3 linked regions of the Saccharomyces cerevisiae S288C genome follow. The gene in region 1 interacts genetically with each later gene. Each region holds a gene or a part of one and is shown in the gene's direction. Other genes may lie near its edges.

What was found. A genetic interaction does not mean that the proteins touch.
Region 2: mutations in HAA1 (region 1) and SDO1 impair growth when combined (synthetic growth defect), as found in Saccharomyces cerevisiae (one study listed by BioGRID).
Region 3: mutations in HAA1 (region 1) and MPT5 impair growth when combined (synthetic growth defect), as found in Saccharomyces cerevisiae (one study listed by BioGRID).

The regions. Positions count from the first base shown.
Region 1 is NC_001148.4:571,332-577,844, forward strand, and holds HAA1 (Haa1p), read left to right. Parts: upstream 1-1,686; coding exon 1,687-3,771; downstream 3,772-6,513. Other genes in the region: REC8 (Rec8p), read right to left, coding at 1-47; SUT2 (Sut2p), read left to right, coding at 5,221-6,027; DNA-directed RNA polymerase I core subunit RPA135, read right to left, coding at 6,254-6,513. UniProt on the Saccharomyces cerevisiae protein: Regulates the transcription of a set of genes, many of which encode membrane proteins. Among the genes regulated are YGR138C and YRO2. Does not seem to be dependent on copper.
Region 2 is NC_001144.5:183,674-188,952, reverse strand, and holds SDO1 (guanine nucleotide exchange factor SDO1), read left to right. Parts: upstream 1-4,026; coding exon 4,027-4,779; downstream 4,780-5,279. Other genes in the region: putative ubiquitin-protein ligase UBR2, read left to right, coding at 1-1,290; IZH3 (Izh3p), read left to right, coding at 1,824-3,455; IRC25 (Irc25p), read right to left, coding at 4,791-5,279. UniProt on the Saccharomyces cerevisiae protein: Involved in the biogenesis of the 60S ribosomal subunit and translational activation of ribosomes.
Region 3 is NC_001139.9:163,281-171,071, forward strand, and holds MPT5 (Mpt5p), read left to right. Parts: upstream 1-4,071; coding exon 4,072-4,074; intron 4,075-4,714; coding exon 4,715-7,291; downstream 7,292-7,791. Other genes in the region: serine/threonine protein kinase TOS3, read right to left, coding at 129-1,811. UniProt on the Saccharomyces cerevisiae protein: RNA-binding protein involved in post-transcriptional regulation. Negatively regulates expression of HO by binding to the 3'-UTR of HO mRNA. Predominantly binds to mRNAs encoding chromatin modifiers and spindle pole body components.

The DNA.
Region 1 (6,513 bases):
CCCTTATATTTCTTGTCATCTTTAAAGTTCAACGAAAGAGGTGCCATTGCAGAATATTTGTAATATTAATCTATATATAGCAAATGCTTTAGAGTTGCTGAGGCTAAAAAGAAATTATAGAACAACTATAAAATATTAAGTCCGGATACACTGCTTCCTTTATACCATGCCCTTCCCTTTATAGTGTAAAAACGCGTAATCTTAATCAATCTGATATATTGGTTTGCCGCCGAAGTCAAGTTCTCCTGCTAAAACGAGACAAAAAGAACACGTGAAAGAAGAAAGAAAAACGTTACGATAAAATAAGTTTTATACCTACTTTCATATCTACCAAAGGAACACAATGAATTGCCGTATGTTATTCTTGAAGTAAGAGTCAAGTATTATTTATGGACTAGTATTCACGTTACTAGTACATTATCACATGCGGTGTAAGAAGATGATATAAAAATTGAGGGACAGTAATCAAATTCAACGGAAGTCAAAAAGGAAGGATTGGTAATGTATAATATCGAAAAATGTGCGAAATAGTTGATAATTGTTGGAGTTTTATAGTTGTTAAAGGCTATAATATTACGTATTTAGAATATACTAGAATTTCTCTATGAGAAGAACCCACGAAGAGATCGATATTCTCGATATAATGGCATTATTGTTATCCTTTTCATCTTATGTGACTGTCATTCATCATCCTACTAAATTATCAATCCTTGCAATTAGCTTCTATTACACCTGATGACTGTTTTTCAATCTTTATGTGATCTTTTTACACCCAATGTGATAAAGTACTAGTAACATGAATACTACTAAACAGATGATACTTTAGAGTTTTCATTCCAACACTCAATTGTAAAAATAAGACAATATTATGATTTTTTGGCTGTATAACCACATCTATTTAGTAGCAGGGTGACATGTTACTCCCACACAATACTTCGCGCAAGTGGTTTAGTGGTAAAATCCAACGTTGCCATCGTTGGGCCCCCGGTTCGATTCCGGGCTTGCGCAATTTTTCCCCCTCGCCCTGAAGGGCGTAACGTTAACGCTTCCGGTAATTTGCGAATAATTTTTCTTCCCATTTCCCCTTTCTTTTCCCTTTAACATGTGGAGCATAGCAGGCTCTTTACTTTTTTACGCATTCAGACAGTCGGGAGGTCAATTGGTGGTGCCGGTTGTGGGAAAGAGGTAATTTTATTTCCTTTATTGGACATGATTTCAATAGTCACATTGGGGCAGGAAAAAGAAAAGGGAGAAAAAAATTCAGTAAAGAAAAAAAATAAGAAAAAGAGAAAAGAAACAAGAGAGGGCTACAGATTTCTAAATATCCTTTTGCTGCACATTTTTTATTTACCTGCTAATTGGTCTTAGTAATACAGAGTCGTGCATTTCCACTTTATAAGAAAAAAAAAAGGGATAACAGCACCAGCACTTGATTGAAAACTAGAAAGTTCACGTTTTATAAGTCCTTTCCGTTCTCTTTATCAGTTATAATAAAAGAGCCAAGACAAAACGTGGCAGGGAAGCTTTTCCAAGGAAAAGAGGGTTGTAATATTAAACAAAAACCGTAATCAAGCAAAATAAGACCCCGTGGTTTTTTATCATAGGAAAAGAGTTCTCTGTTGTCACTCTACCATATTTGACAAGAAAAAGGAAACAAAAGTATAGAAAAAAAAAACCTAAAAAATAATGGTCTTGATAAATGGCATAAAGTATGCCTGTGAGAGGTGCATAAGAGGCCATAGAGTAACAACATGCAATCATACAGATCAACCGCTTATGATGATCAAACCCAAAGGTAGACCTTCCACTACATGCGACTATTGTAAACAACTTCGAAAAAACAAGAATGCAAATCCTGAAGGTGTTTGCACGTGTGGCCGGCTAGAGAAGAAAAAACTGGCACAGAAAGCCAAAGAAGAAGCAAGAGCTAAAGCCAAAGAAAAACAAAGAAAACAGTGTACCTGCGGGACTGATGAGGTTTGCAAATATCATGCTCAAAAGAGACATCTAAGAAAGTCCCCTTCAAGTTCTCAAAAGAAAGGAAGATCCATTTCTCGTTCTCAACCAATGTTTGAAAGGGTATTGTCTTCTACTTCACTTGACAGCAATATGTTATCCGGCCACGGAGCACTATCAGATACCTCTAGCATACTGACGAGCACATTTTTAGACAGTGAGCCGGGTGTTGGTAAAATTTCAAAAGATTACCATCATGTCCCTTCATTGGCCTCCATTTCATCCTTACAATCCTCGCAATCGTTAGATCAAAATTTCAGTATACCACAAAGCCCGCCGTTATCTTCAATGTCATTTAATTTTCTCACGGGAAATATCAATGAAACCAACCAAAATCACAGTAATCATCAGCATTCAAAATCAGGCAATAACTGGCAAGATAGTTCGGTAAGCTTGCCAGCGAAAGCTGATTCACGTCTTAACATGATGGATAAAAACAACTCTGTGGGTCTTGACCTATTAGGCCATTCAAAACGAATATCGCCGATATCAAACTCTCGTGTGGGCGAAGTTAGCGTTCCGCTAGAAGAATATATTCCTTCTGACATTGATGGGGTTGGAAGAGTTACTGATAAAAGCTCTTTGGTCTACGATTGGCCATTTGATGAAAGTATTGAGAGAAATTTCAGTACAACCGCAACCGCTGCAACTGGTGAAAGTAAGTTCGACATTAACGACAACTGTAATAGAATTAATAGCAAAAGTTATAGTAAGACTAATAGTATGAATGGAAACGGTATGAACAATAGCAATAATAATAATATCAACAGTAATGGCAACGACAAGAACAATAACAACTCTTCTAGACAAGAACATCAAGGAAATGGACTATTTGACATGTTTACAGATTCATCGTCGATTTCAACGCTTTCCCGTGCAAACTTATTATTGCAAGAAAAAATTGGTTCGCAAGAAAACTCTGTCAAACAAGAAAACTATTCGAAAAATCCTCAACTTCGTCATCAATTAACTTCCAGAAGTAGATCATTTATTCATCATCCGGCAAACGAGTATTTGAAGAATACTTTTGGAAATTCACATAGTAATGACATCGGAAAGGGAGTTGAAGTGCTATCTTTGACACCGAGTTTTATGGATATTCCCGAAAAAGAAAGAGAAACGGAAAGATCGCCATCATCCAATTACATTACTGACAGACCTTTCACTCGAAAACCTAGATCTTCTAGCATTGACGTAAACCATAGGTATCCACCTATGGCACCAACAACCGTAGCGACATCTCCCGGTGCATTGAACAATGCCGTAGCAAGCAATCTCGACGATCAACTGAGTTTAACATCACTAAACTCTCAGCCATCATCGATAGCAAATATGATGATGGACCCTTCAAACCTAGCTGAGCAAAGTTCTATTCATTCAGTTCCTCAGTCAATAAACTCTCCGAGAATGCCTAAAACTGGAAGTCGCCAAGACAAGAACATTCACACTAAGAAGGAAGAAAGAAATCCGCTAAATAACATACACGATCTGTCACAATTGGAAAATGTACCAGACGAGATGAACCAAATGTTCTCCCCACCATTAAAAAGTATGAATAGACCGGATGCCATAAGGGAAAATTCATCTAGTAGTAATTTCATAATCCAAGGAAATAGCATGATCTCTACGCCTTCCGGAAGGAATGACCTTCCAGATACCTCTCCAATGAGTAGTATTCAAACAGCGTCACCACCAAGTCAATTACTGACCGATCAAGGATTTGCGGATTTGGATAATTTCATGTCTTCGTTATGATAAATTTGCTTTTCGTCTCTTGCTTCTCTGTAACTGTAGTTTTCCTCCTCCCACATATATATATATATATACACTTTTATACACCTAATAATATCATCGGCATTATGATTGCTTATACATTTTCATAATCAATATTACTGTTCACCATTTGAATCACTGCAGAAATATGCACTGCGCCTTCTTTTTCTTTGCCTGAAGCACCCACACACAAGAACAGGAATGTGAATGGCCTCCCCATCTCACTTTTACTTAATAGTATTCTGACAATATAAGGTATCAGAGAGTAAGACCATTATTAGGCAAACAATAATCTTCAGAATTTTTAGTAGCGCATTCTCAACCTTTCTAGGTGCGTTTTTCTAATGAAATAGTATCGTTTTCCTTCCGCATTCCTTGCGTAGTTTGTTGTGTAAATATAGCAATAAGAAACCCTATAAATCATTATGATGTAACTCCCGATTCTTTTAAATAATTACATAAACTAGGAAGGCAAGTCCGAACACGCAGAGATGAGGTATTTGCACTCAATGACAAATCTAGGTTTAAACTACGGGGCTCCATACCTTATCTCTTCACTTATCAAAAGTAGGCAAAAGAAAAGAAAATAAATATAATTTCTTTTTCTGCAGGCAAGATTTTAAAAGAACTTGCGCGTCCTCTGTGCAATCTACCTGGGGAGTCTCGGGCTTTAACCGCTCCCCATTCTAAACTGCTTCCATTGACGTGTACTATACTGCTCACTTCTTGCTCTTCGAGCAACAAAATCTGTATTACGTTTCTTACACTAGTCGAGTGAAAGAGATAAGATACCCACTTTTACTTGCCGGGAGAATGGAAAAGAGAAAACGGAAGAAAGGGCTTAAATACATTTTCCTTTAATATGAACATCCTACTGTAAGATAAAAATTGGATGCTGATAATGGAAAGGAGACATGTACGGTATGTACGGCAAAACCTCGGCGGGTTTTCGCCGCTAGCTCATATATTCTTTCGTTAAATTTTAAAATTTCTTATTCTAAATCTTCTTTACATGTTTGGAAAGAATTTATTGGAGAGAAAAATCTAGACCTGCCAAGCCGATAAACGAATGCCTGCGAAGAAATAGTGTAAATATTACTCCTGAAGGTAGAGTCATCTAGGCGGAGACGAAAACAAAGTTTAGCTTTTCGTGAAATTGCCCATTTCATGTTTATCAACCACCAAAGGTTAAATGGAGGTTTGACAAAAGAAATTTTCTTGCTAAAGGTTAGCATTTTTTTTGGAATTTTTTTTCCTTCGACTGGCTGTAGTTGTCCTTCTATATTACGTACAACAAAAACTTTCTTGAATGAAGAATTAGTTCTATCATATAGACCATAAGAAAGAAAACGCACTTGGATAATTTTTAACAAAGAAGAGGGCAAACTGACGCTCACCAAGCTATTGGTTTGTTTGGATCAATCGTCAGATATGAAGCCGAACAATCGAACTTGTGATGTAATTACCAACAAAGATGAATCTCTTCCTGCACTTTTGCTGCCTGCACTGAACAGTTACACCTGTGACGATTCATTGCTAAAAGGACAAATTTCAAGCAATGGCAGATATCAACCATTCGGGTTTTCTGATTGCTCTTTACTGCCAAAGCGTTTAAACATTCAGGCAGGGCAAGGATCTATGCCAGTTTCTTCGATTCAATGTGCAGACCACAGTTATAGTAATTGGCAAAAAGAATCCGAAAAGACTAAGCTTCCCAAGCTTGGTTGCCCAACAGAGTACACTGAATACTATAAAACTGTTTCTTCCGGCGAAACAACCGATTCAGCGGTTGTTTCATCTATAGCAACGAACAGACTCAAAAGAAAACGTCAGAGGGACGGCCCAAGTTGTGACTCTTGTAGGATAAAGAAAATAAAATGCAATGCAACAATCATTATCTTTTTACAGGATAGGAACCTAATTTCATCAATTTCTTCAAATTTGCATTATACACTTTCCCAAGACGACATAAACCAGTTTCGAATGAAGTTTTTCAGGAAACTGCCTGACGTGATGGGCACATATGAAGTCATAAAACACCTTGATAAAATAGTCCTTTTCAAAGCCTGCACCTCTTGCAGTAGAAGAAACCAAAAAAATGGAAAGTGTCTTTTTTCGAGAGGATTTACAAAATCTGATATGAACGTATTTCCCAAGATAAATAGTAAACTTAAAGACAAAAGTATCTTCGAGATGACTGTCGATGATTATGTTGCCGCTGGCTTCCAAACCCTTTAGGTTTCATGCATGTAATTTCCTCCTATGTAAAATATAGGAATATTAATAAAACGCACCAATAATAAGTTAGATATTTTTCTGCAAGATATAAATTTGTTTACTCATACATATATATTCTATTGCGGGGCGCTCTTGTATAAGTAATTCAATAAAAAACCTCTATATGATACAATTGACCAAGCCTTCATTTACCATTCTATATCAATTTGGAAAGAAGGGTATTTCTCTATTTGGGCTCTACATTATAACGCAATCTTATACCCATTGCGGATAGCTCAGAGTCCAAGTACTTCAACACAAATGGTATGGCCACCGTAGTTGTTTCATTACCACCAACAAATTTGTTACCTTGTCCATCTTCCCAAATTTGAGAGTCGTCAATAAAAATTTTCTCTCCATCTTCTGATTTAGTCAATAGCTTCTTTGCATCTTCGAATCTCATGGAACAACGACGGCAACAAACGGTGGAAATCGAACCAATTCTTG
Region 2 (5,279 bases), on another chromosome or scaffold:
AGATCGCACAAAAAGGAAGGAAAAATAGTGAATATGGAAAGAATATCCAGTCAGTGCATTTTAACCTTACATTTAGTTTGTGAGCTAAAGTCGTTTATTTACAAAAAATTTGTTAATTCAAAAACATTCAGCAGCGAAATCTCTCGTAAAATATGGAATTGGAATGAGTTTCTAATAAAGGGTAATAATGTGAATCTACTTTTGTATATGAGTCAAAATTTTGATAATATTGATGGAGGAAAAACCCCGCAACCGCCTAACCTATGTATCTATGAAATGTTCAAAAGAAGGTTCCATCAACTACTACTGTTGCTTGCAAGAGATATGATGAGAGTAAACTTTTACAAAGACTGTCGAAATAAAATCAAAATATCATCAAACGGATCTGAGGAACCATCGACAAGCTTTTCATATCTATTCAATACTTTTAAAAAGTATGTTGATCTCTTTAAACCAGACGACGTTCGGTTTGATTTTACAAGTTTAGAGAAAATTAAAGACTTTATATGCTCTCTATTACTAGAGTCATTGTCCATTTTTTGTAGAAGAACCTTCTTATTATTCAACATTCAGTATGATGATGATGGTGATGGTGATAATAATAATAACCGCAGCAATAATTTCATGGACGTCAAACAGCGTGAAATAGAGCTTATTTTCCGGTATTTTAAATTACCCAATTTAACTCACTTTTTGAAGGATTTTTTCTACAACGAACTAACACAAAATATAGAAAGGTATAATGATGGTAATGATAATTTGAGAATTCAGCAAGTAATATATGACATGGTGCAGAACATAAACACAAGAGCATATCCTTCACCAGAGCATATCCAGCTTATCGAACTACCATTGAACCTTTCCAAATTTTCCCTTGATAATGATGAAATATCGAATAAATGTGATAAATACGAAATCGCAGTATGCTTGTTGTGTGGCCAAAAATGCCATATTCAAAAAAGCATAGCACTGCAAGGTTATTTACAGGGGGAATGTACTGATCATATGAGAAATGGATGCGAAATCACCTCCGCTTACGGAGTTTTCTTAATGACCGGCACAAATGCGATATATCTGTCATACGGCAAAAGAGGTACATTTTATGCTGCACCTTATCTAAGTAAATACGGAGAGACCAACGAAGACTACAAATTCGGTACTCCCGTCTATTTGAATCGGGCGAGATACGCGAATCTAGCGAATGAGATTGTTTTTGGCAACATGATTCCGCACATAGTGTTCCGACTAACGGACGGCAGTGCAGATCTTGGTGGGTGGGAGACTATGTAGTTATCCAACAAATGTCTAGTCATTCAAAATTGCTACGAAATTAGCGTATCCGAAAAATCAAAAGAAATTTTATCTGTTTTAATTGGCGTGGGGAAGTGGGGTAGGGTCGAGGATCATTACGCTTTCTCGTGGGAAGGGACAGGGACGGACCGAAAAAAAAAGAAATGCCGCAGAAAAAGAAATGTTTTAGTGTGGGGTATGGGCTGAAGCTCGTATAGTGCAGGGTGACTTCACTTTTCTTTTTACCCTGCAGGAAATGGAGAAAGTGTTGATGGATAAGGTATATAGTCATAAGGTGACACAGCGTGGGTGTACATCTAGAAAGCTTGGCGATTCGAGCGAAGTGGTGGTTTACTCGTTTTATAATAAGAGTTTTTGGACATTATTTTTTCTTTAGGACACAGTTGATTCAAATTCTACACTTGTTTTGTCGTCTGGTAAAGTTTAGCCATTGTAAAGTGGACAAAGAAGAAGCTGCAACGCAGATAAGCTGAAAAATAGTTCACATCCCAACAGACAATCAAATTAAGTACATGATGGACTCGTCAAGCAAAAGCTTAACTCAGTATATACCCTCACCCATGGGATCTCTATCAAGGCTAAAGCAGAAGGGTGTGGACAATTTTCAGAAGGTGAAAAAATCCGGTAAATCCATCTATAATTACAACTACTCAAAATTCGTTCCTCATCCATTTTCAACTATTGATGAAAGTGTTAAACACTCTGAAAGTGGGCGGTATGATGATTTGGAGATAATTCGTCCAACAAAAGAAAAGGAAGTAACAAGTTCTGTGTACAAAAGAAACAGTGGCAAGTCTCTGAATACAGAATCTCAGTTTTCACTGGGAGATTCAGATGCAGCCACTTTGGTGAATTCAGTCGCTACTTTCAAGCTTAACAATGCTTCTACATCCACTTCACTGGTGTCTTCATCTTCAACTGTATGTTCTCAAGCGAAGTCCTCGTTACGTTCCCCAACAAGTCGTCTCAATGATACAAAAATCAAAGAGGAAAACAATTATATTTCCAGCGTGAAAGACTATTGCGGTCCAATGAGAAAATCCATGGTAAAGACGGAAATCCTCATTGAAGAACCTTTGAATCCTACTACCGATATCAAGTCTTTTATAAACTCATACAACCATGGCAAAGCGTATAGTCTAGGTGAAACTCAACATTTACATTATTATCAGTTGCCATTCCCATGGAGGGAAAACAGATACATAATCCATGGCTATAGGTTTTACAATACCCATTCCAAATCTTTGTTGTCTATCTTTAACTGGTACGGCTGGCATAATGAAACTTCAAATATTTGGTCTCATTTGTTAGGAGCCATTTATATAATCTACTTGGCAATTTACGATTTCCCTCAGTCTGAAGTTTGGCGGAATTCCCAGGTTCCACCACAGGCTAGATGGATTGTTTTCATGTTTTTGGCAGCTGCGTTGAAATGTATGCTAAGCTCCGTGTTTTGGCATACTTTCAACGGAACGTCCTTCTTGAAGCTACGTTCTAAATTTGCGTGTGTCGACTATAGCGGTATTACGATCTTAATTACAGCTTCGATATTGACAACGGAGTTTGTTACCATGTATTCATGTTACTGGGCGATGTACACTTACATGAGTATTTCTCTGGCGCTGGGTGTATTTGGTGTGTTTATGAATTGGTCGCCTCGCTTTGATAGACCTGAAGCAAGGCCATTAAGAATTAGATTCTTCATTTTGCTGGCTACTATGGGTGTATTGTCGTTTTTACATTTGATATTTTTGACTGATCTTCATTATGCTGCAACGCTATTTAGCCCCGTCACATACAAATCTGTTGTTTGGTATTTGGTTGGTGTGGTATTTTACGGTTCGTTCATTCCTGAACGGTTCAGATCTGACGTTCAGGTTGATAAGACCATTCCAACAAACTACGAATTATCTACTGATTTAGAAATCATCACAAAGCAAAGGGAAATTCATTTTAGAGAGGTGCCAACAGCCCATTCCAAATGCAGTTCCTGTCCGTCTCATGCCAAATCATTTAAATCTCTATGGTGGGTTGACTATTTTGGTTGTTCGCACACTTTTTGGCATTTCTTCGTAGTGTTGGGTGTCATCGGCCATTATAGAGCTATTTTAGATATGTTTGCCAAGAGGTGGATTTTGTCATGATGGTATGACTGACTACCTTTACTTACAACATCCTGCACTTTTTCTGTATACGATAAACGGACTTAAAAGAAAGAAAAGCCTACAATTACATTGTTGGAGAAGCCACATAGCAATTTCGAAAAAAACCAGAAATTGTAAACCACGAATTCTCCTGTATTATTTCATTGTTAAAATTTTTTTTTTACTTATATTATACCCATCTTTTTCGATATTCCTGCTGGCATTGTTTTGGCTACATTTTCAAGAAACTTTGGATCCAAAGACAAAAGGAACAAACGAAATCTAAAAGCAAAAAAAAAGTTGACTGATTATAAAAACTACATTACGACGAAAAGAAAATAATAAAACTGTGTACTTTTAGTTTTGCATTTATGTATTGACTGTTATTTAACTTATTATGACCTCATGAAAGAACAAAACTTAGCGTGTATTGTTCTGCTCAGTGCCTTGTATATATAATAATGTTCATGAAAAAATTTTTCTAGGCCGAACTTAAGTGATTTCATGCAGTAGTAAAAGTTTTTAAAATTTTTACTAAAATAGTTCTGAGAAAGAAAAGGTAAAACACGCAATGCCTATCAATCAACCGTCGGGACAGATTAAGTTAACTAATGTTTCATTAGTGAGATTAAAAAAGGCTCGCAAGAGATTTGAAGTCGCGTGCTACCAAAATAAGGTCCAAGACTATCGAAAAGGAATTGAAAAAGATCTGGATGAAGTGCTGCAGATACATCAAGTTTTCATGAATGTTTCGAAAGGCTTGGTTGCTAATAAGGAAGATCTACAAAAGTGTTTCGGGACTACAAATGTTGATGATGTCATCGAGGAGATCATGCATAAGGGAGAGATTCAATTATCGGAAAAAGAAAGACAATTAATGCTTAATAAAGTTAATAACGAAATGCTTACAATAGTTAGCGCTAAATGTATAAATCCTGTGTCAAAGAAAAGATATCCGCCCACAATGATCCACAAAGCTTTACAGGAACTGAAGTTCAGCCCTGTTATTAACAAACCTGCCAAATTGCAAGCTTTAGAGGCTATCAAATTATTGGTTTCTAAGCAAATTATTCCAATAGTAAGGGCGAAGATGAAAGTCAAAGTGGCCATAAGTGAGCCATCTAGACAACCCGAACTTATTGAGAAGATTAGTAAATTGATAGCTTCATCGCCTGGAGAGTCAACGAAGCCGGAATTGGATCCTTGGACATGTACAGGTCTTATCGATCCTGTCAATTATAGAGATTTGATGACCCTATGTGATAAAAAGGGAACTGTGCAAGTCTTGGATATGGCAGTCATAGATAATACAACGCATAACTAATTTATATAGAATCACTTTGCATACATATCTTTGATACACTTTAACACAAAAACTAATTTGCCAAAATCATTATCGTCAGCGCTTTGTTCCTTCGTTGCTCTCCATATCTTACTGCTCATGGATATCAGCAAGCTGAATTGCATGTTGTCTTGGGCCATCGTACCGCTCACTTCTGGTAGAATAACTCTCCTATATAGTTCGGCAATCTGTACGCATACCACGGGTACTTTAGGATCGGCACTATCTCCCAACTTGGTAACCACTTGATAATCAGATAAATGGTCTCTTACAAATTCTTCTTCCTCATCGTCATAATCGCCACCCGTGTTTCCTAGGTTTCCTGCCAGTGGTACGTTGATATCGAGAATTGGGTTTAGTCCTTTTGAAGATACCTCATAGGTGGAATCCATTTCCCCATTTAGTCTGATTTGCAATAGAATTGTGTTATTAAAGTGCGTGGCTTGTACATACAATTCTTTGTTTTCGGATGAAGCGTTCAA
Region 3 (7,791 bases), on another chromosome or scaffold:
AAACGTTCAAAAACAAACACAATATTAAAAGAATTGGTATTAGGATCCGACATGACAATTAACTTAGATCCTTCTATCAAGTTTCTAATCATATATTACATCTATTAAAATAATTTACATATATCATGCTAAAGCTTATAAAGAGACATTCTTCTTCTCGTGCGCTGGGCGTCGCTAGCCTCAAATACAAGTGATGCGTCTGCTTCTATTCTAAGGTCATCCTTGCTGTTAGATTTCCCTTCTACCAGGTGGGCTTTTATACGTTGAGGTACATTACCGACAGGCGTAAGAGTAGAGCTCAAACTTGCTTCCGTACTCTCAAAGGGATATTCTCCTACAGGAGACATAGTTGTATATTGTGGAAACTCACAAGAATTCACTCTTAATGAACTTCCACTCTCACCTATCAAGCATTGTTGATCACCGATTGCTGGGGCATCCTGAATACTGATCTGAGATGCAAAAGCGGTGGATGATGTGAAAGAGGAAAAGGACGAATAGGATGACTCTCTAGAACCGATGTTGTGATATGCTGAGGGTGATAAGGTATTTGCGTCGTATATTGATGGAGAATATGTTGAATTTCTGTCAGCACCAGTCCTAAGGTTATTGTGGTCAAAATTTTCCATATAAACGCTATCTAAAGAGGCGAATGATGAATTCACTGGTAGGCTGACCAATTCTACCCTTTTGCATGAAGAGGGCGGTGAAACTTTCAACTCATGAAACGTCTCCAAATTGGTCAATACGGATGCTGCATCGCTTTTACCATAATGGCACATAAACGGATGTACCTTGATGTCTGCTAGTTTTATCCGTTTGTCAGGATCTTTTTGTAACAGCTTCTTCAATAAATCTTTGGCATCAGTGTATTCTTCCATTGTGATTCCCGAAGTGGCACCATTCAACATTTCCTCATAAGATGGAAATTCTAAGGGTTTATTGATAATACTGTCGAAAAGTTCTAATCCTGAATTGGCGTTGAAAGGCAACTTTCCAAACAACAAGCAGTATATAGTGACCCCCAATGACCAGATATCGATGGCAGATGAGCAGGAATACTCTTTTTCAGTGGAGCAAAGCTCAGGTGCAAAAAAAGCAGGGGTCCCTAAGGCTCTAGATTTTAAAAGTTGTTCATGCGATGATTGTATATTAGTACTTCCGGTGGCAGTTGACATAGCAACGCCAAAATCGGATATTTTCACCGTTCCGTTTGATGAAATTAACAGGTTCGATGGTTTGATATCTCGATGCGTTATCCCTTGGGAATGTAAATACTCCAGACCCGATACTACATCCAACACTACCTTCCTCGACTGTTGGAAAGTGAGTATTGATGGTCCCACTGCTTTTATCTCCATTTTGTTTTCTGGACACCATTTAACGGGTCCCCTTGAGCAATATTCTAATACAAGATAAACCTTTGTGCTCTCAGGGTCATTCAAAATTTCATACAATTCCACAACGTTTTCATGATGACATCTTTTCATTACTTCAATTTCTTGATTAACCCTTGGATTTTCTACTTTCAATTGAAGAGAATACCCGCTTCTTTTTTCGAATCTATTAAGAATTTTTATTGCAACCAACGCACCTGTCCCGAGATCTCTTGCTAATTTCACTTTGCCGTACTGTCCATTACCCAAAGTGGCTAAAATTTCAAAGTTGTTAAGGATTTGTCTCTTAGTTAAGGGATTATATAATAGTTTGACTTTTCTTGTCTCTTTTATACGACTACTACTATTGCTCGCATTATTATATAACAGAGATGATCGAGGCAGCGGCTGAACAGGTTCTTTAAGTAGTACCATATTCTTCAAAGCTTCCTTTTTATATGCAGAATATGTGCGCAGCAATTTCAAGGCGTAGAGTACGAGTCACTAGAGGCTCGAGCATTATATACCACTTACAAGTAGTGTTTCTTATTGGGGACACCTGTCCTAACAATGTATGGCTTTATATACCGCGCGGATAAGTAAGGCACACCCGCTCTTCGTATAATACCCGCACAAAAGATTCAGGGACCGGGTATGCTCAACGAAAAAAATAGCCAAGATTGTTGCGAGTCCTCATCAATGAGGACATACAGAGAATAAAAACAGCCATATTTTGCTTGCTGAAGGACGTTGTGCAAACCGAAGATATCAGCGGTAGTCTTTATAGGACCCGTTGGTTTATTATATACAAAGGGATCTTTAAAAGGTCCGGTGCGAGGGGACGGGTGGAGATGGAAGTTATCAACCAAATGCAATTTATCCGAAGCGCAAAAAAAATAAAGGTGCTCCGATGGACCTTAGAAAGGAACTCCAAAATGCTGTGATGGACCGGCGAGGGCGGTAAACGAAACTACCACATTGCATAAGAAACAAAATGTACGGCCCCTTCTACACAATCTATTTATGGTTTTCGTCTTGACCTCCTAATTACTTAATTAATGATTACATTTCTTAAAAGCACAAAAATAAAGTAGCTACCCTTCTTAAGCCATAGTAGTTAAAGCCTCAAGTGCATTGATAATCTCCTGACCCTAGGTCGTCTTTCGCGTGGGCTATCGCCACCTAAGGAAAGGATTAAATGGAGCAAGTATTGGAAATGTAAAGAAATTGCAGAATGTTCTGATTACTTTTCATCACCCAAAGAGTCCATACTACCACTACCACCAACCATTGCCGGTGAGCGGTTTCTTGCTCATTAACATGACGTACAAGGGAACGGAATGTCCCTTGTACGTTGTAATGTCTTTTGCTCTCGTAAAGAAGCCTATACACGCCCCTTCCTTCCGCCCTTCGGCATCCGCTGCCAACTGGGTGGGGGCTCAATGGATCTCTTTACTCTGGCCCTTAGAAGCCTTCTGAAATTCTCGGCTTAGGCATCGAACGATGAAGAAACTAACTAAAAATATACGCCATTTTTTTGGGGAGGGGGGGCCGCACTGAAACGCGAAATGCCAAAAAAACGCGAAACGCCGCAGTAAAAGGTCAGTACCGCGCAAAAAATACAAAAATGACAACAATATTGGCCTTTCTTTTCCTAAAGCAATTAACTGGAAAGCGAGGTTCTAAACATCTGGCCAACCCCTAAATTTTTAATAATTCCGAAGCGGGATATATTGCATCTGGCAATCTGAAAAGCAATAGAAAGAAGCGGCCTAGTACTGCATAGTGAGTGATAAAATATACATATTAAGGTTGGGGAAATGGTACGCGCTTTCAAGTAGCTAGAAAGATCTGAATGTTCTGAAGTACGGTTTGGATTTATACGCGGTTATTTCCTGGACTAGCTTAGAGCCAATTAATACTGACGATTGCCTCTTTTTCTTTACCGTTTATGTATGCTGTATGCCCTTTTCATGTATAAAAGAAGGGTAATTTAAAAAAGTTTATAATCATCCAGATTCCTTATTTTTTTTCTTCTTTCGCCAGGTGTTTTACCCAGCTAAGACTAACCTTGTGGTTCAGATTACACTAGTATTGCCGTCCGATATTACAATTCTGAAATCAGTTTTCTTGTGATCATTCTTTTTTTCTCTCTTGCCATTCTTAAACGTGGCCTACAAGAACTCTTCTTCTTTCCTGGTTCGCATCTGTGTTAAACGTATAGATTTTCTTACATAGAGGCCTAAAAAGCATAATAGGTGGTTTCCTTTCAATATATATCTGAAACATTGAATATACTGAACACAATTCACATTTCAAAACCTTGGGTACTGTTGAGTCAACATCAAGATCAGCCTATTTCATAATTTACTTTATCTTTTCACACAAAAAGAGAACAGGTAAAAAAGAACAGATCTGCTAGCCCCGAGAAGATCATTGACACATCATTGATTGGCAAGTTAAGTAATAAAAGAAAGGTAATAACATCAAGAAGTCAAGCGCCTTGAAATTACTAGATTTGGACTACGGATCAGCAAAAGCCTGCTACTACAACCGCCACTTTTACTATTCCTTAAGATAAAAGCTAAAAAACCAAAAAAAAAAAAAAAAAAACCTCCTCAACTCCTCTCCAACACATAGTAAAGCGAATTCTACGCAAATTTATAAATCAATTACGATTTTTCCAGTTTCTCTTATGGTATGTATTATCTCTTAATTCCCAATATTTTTCTTCGCCAATGGAGCATAAGCTTTAACGGGATCTTCTAACAACAAATAGCATAATAACCAAAAACCAGCTTCAGTGGGATCAGCCTATCGACACGCCTTTTTTAGCGGTCTAACAATCTCCGTTTATGTCGTATGGAATTTCTGATACTTGACCCTACCTTATTTCTCGAATATGCCTATAAGGATTTTCTCGAAAGAAGGGCTTCGGGAAAGAGGCGCCTCAGGCAAAAATGAGCAAAAAAAAAAAAAAAAAGAAAAGATTCGAAGATCTATGAAAAATTTATGCAGATTCGTTGAGAGTTATAAGGATTTTACTCTTTATGGTTATAGGTTTCATTCTAAAATCAAGCATAAATTTTGTGTTTTGTCTTCCTCTTTTCCTGTCCTCTTTTTTTGCCATCCTCTGTCGCCATTGAAGTCGAACTTTATAGATAGATTTACTCTTGATTCTCACGCATCTCAGGCCACCTGGACACTGTACATGGTTGTGATTGTTCTCTTTCTCAGTTATCGAAATTGATCCTAGGCTTATACTCCAAAATCGGCTCTGCACACGCCTTATTTTTGTGGTTTCACTTTACTAACACAACATTCTTTTATTCAATCAGATCAATAACGAACCATTTCCATCTGCCGACTCAGCATCGATTTTAACTACGTCTACATCAAATAACTCCTTAATGTCTTACAATCATCAGCCTCAACTATCTATTAACTCCGTCCAATCACTCTTGGAGCCCGTGACCCCTCCGCCTTTGGGCCAGATGAATAACAAAAGAAACCATCAAAAGGCTCATTCGCTTGATCTCTCTGGTTTTAATCAGTTCATATCATCGACACAATCTCCCTTGGCTTTGATGAATAATACATCAACATCGAATTCTGCTAACTCTTTTTCCCCGAATCCTAATGCTGCTAGCAACTCCACTGGGCTTTCAGCCTCAATGGCAAATCCTCCAGCCATTCTACCATTAATCAATGAGTTTGATCTGGAAATGGATGGTCCCAGGAGAAAATCAAGCCACGATTTCACGGTTGTTGCTCCTTCGAACTCTGGTGTCAATACCTCCAGTTTAATTATGGAAACACCATCCTCTTCAGTGACTCCTGCTGCATCTCTCAGAAATTTTAGCAATAGTAATAATGCTGCTTCCAAATGTGGAGTGGATAATTCGTCATTTGGTTTGAGTAGCTCAACGTCTTCATCTATGGTCGAAATCAGCGCACTACCCCTTAGAGATCTGGATTATATCAAACTTGCCACTGACCAGTTTGGCTGCCGTTTTCTTCAAAAAAAATTAGAAACCCCCAGTGAATCCAATATGGTGAGAGACTTGATGTATGAACAAATTAAGCCATTTTTCTTGGACCTTATTTTGGATCCGTTCGGTAACTATTTGGTTCAAAAACTATGCGATTATTTAACTGCCGAGCAAAAGACATTATTAATACAAACAATATATCCAAATGTTTTCCAAATATCAATCAATCAGTACGGAACTCGTTCCTTACAGAAAATTATAGACACTGTCGATAACGAAGTTCAAATCGATCTCATTATTAAGGGATTTTCCCAAGAATTTACTTCGATTGAGCAAGTGGTTACTTTGATAAACGATCTTAATGGTAACCATGTGATTCAAAAGTGTATTTTCAAATTCTCGCCATCAAAATTTGGTTTCATCATAGATGCTATTGTAGAACAAAATAATATCATTACCATTTCTACCCATAAACATGGTTGTTGCGTACTACAAAAATTACTAAGCGTTTGTACTCTACAACAAATTTTCAAAATTTCTGTGAAAATTGTGCAGTTCCTTCCTGGATTAATCAACGATCAGTTCGGTAATTATATCATCCAATTTCTGTTAGATATCAAAGAATTGGACTTTTACTTATTGGCTGAGTTATTTAACCGTTTATCCAATGAATTATGTCAACTATCTTGTTTGAAGTTCTCCTCAAATGTTGTGGAAAAATTCATTAAAAAATTATTTAGAATCATTACTGGATTTATTGTTAATAACAATGGGGGTGCCTCCCAAAGGACTGCAGTTGCTTCTGATGACGTGATTAATGCTTCTATGAACATTCTTTTGACTACCATTGATATATTCACAGTCAATTTAAATGTGCTAATCAGGGATAATTTTGGTAATTATGCGTTACAAACGCTATTAGACGTTAAGAATTATTCTCCTCTGCTTGCTTACAACAAAAATAGTAACGCAATTGGGCAAAACAGCTCTAGTACATTGAATTACGGTAACTTTTGTAACGATTTTTCATTGAAAATTGGTAACTTGATTGTCCTTACAAAAGAATTACTTCCAAGTATTAAAACTACATCCTATGCAAAGAAAATTAAGTTGAAAGTTAAAGCTTATGCAGAAGCCACAGGTATACCATTCACTGACATATCTCCTCAAGTCACTGCAATGAGTCATAACAATCTTCAAACGATTAACAACGAAAATAAGAACCCCCATAACAAAAATAGTCATAATCATAATCATAATCATAATCATAACCATGCTCACAATAATAATAACAATAATAATCAAAAGAGTCATACCCGTCATTTTTCTTTACCAGCTAATGCTTACCATAGAAGAAGTAACAGCTCTGTAACCAATAATTTCTCAAACCAATATGCACAAGATCAGAAAATTCACTCTCCGCAACAAATTATGAACTTCAACCAAAACGCATATCCCTCGATGGGAGCACCTTCTTTCAATTCTCAAACTAACCCACCATTGGTAAGCCATAACTCGTTACAAAACTTCGACAACCGCCAGTTTGCAAATTTAATGGCACATCCTAATTCTGCTGCACCAATCCATTCGTTCTCATCATCTAACATTACCAATGTGAATCCTAATGTTTCAAGGGGATTTAAGCAGCCTGGATTTATGATGAATGAAACCGACAAAATTAATGCTAATCACTTCTCGCCATACTCTAATGCAAATAGTCAAAACTTCAATGAATCTTTTGTGCCTCGTATGCAATATCAAACGGAAGGTGCAAACTGGGATTCAAGTTTGTCAATGAAGTCGCAGCATATTGGTCAAGGCCCATATAATCAAGTTAATATGAGCCGCAACGCTAGTATTTCCAATATGCCTGCCATGAATACCGCTAGAACATCTGATGAACTTCAATTCACTTTGCCATAATACTTTTTTTTCTTTCTTTTTCTTTCCTTCTTACTGTACAAATATTTTACGCAGAAATCAAAGACAAAAGAAAAATAAAAAATAAAAAATAAAAAATTCAACTAAGCAATGACGTCCTACTAAAGTCCCAAAATTTGAGCCGGAAAAAAATGGTAAAGCAAACTATTGCCATCTTTATATTTTGTATTCTGTTTCCGAACACGTATCCAAAATCCTCCCACTGCCTTTGCAGGGTTAGCATTGCTCCCTACCAAAATGATCTAATTTTTTTTTGAATCGTTTTTTGTCAACGATTATTTTTGTTTTAAATTCCTCATCTTCTGAACTTACGCCCAACTATTATTTAATTCATTCATTCATTAAGCAATCCATACGTCCATTCATTCATTCAGTTTTCTTTTTGTCTATTACTGTCATTTTATTTTCAAATCCAATTGTCCTTTAGGACACTAATGTGTTAAAATATCCATTCGCTCAAGCATTTTTAATAAATAGGAAAA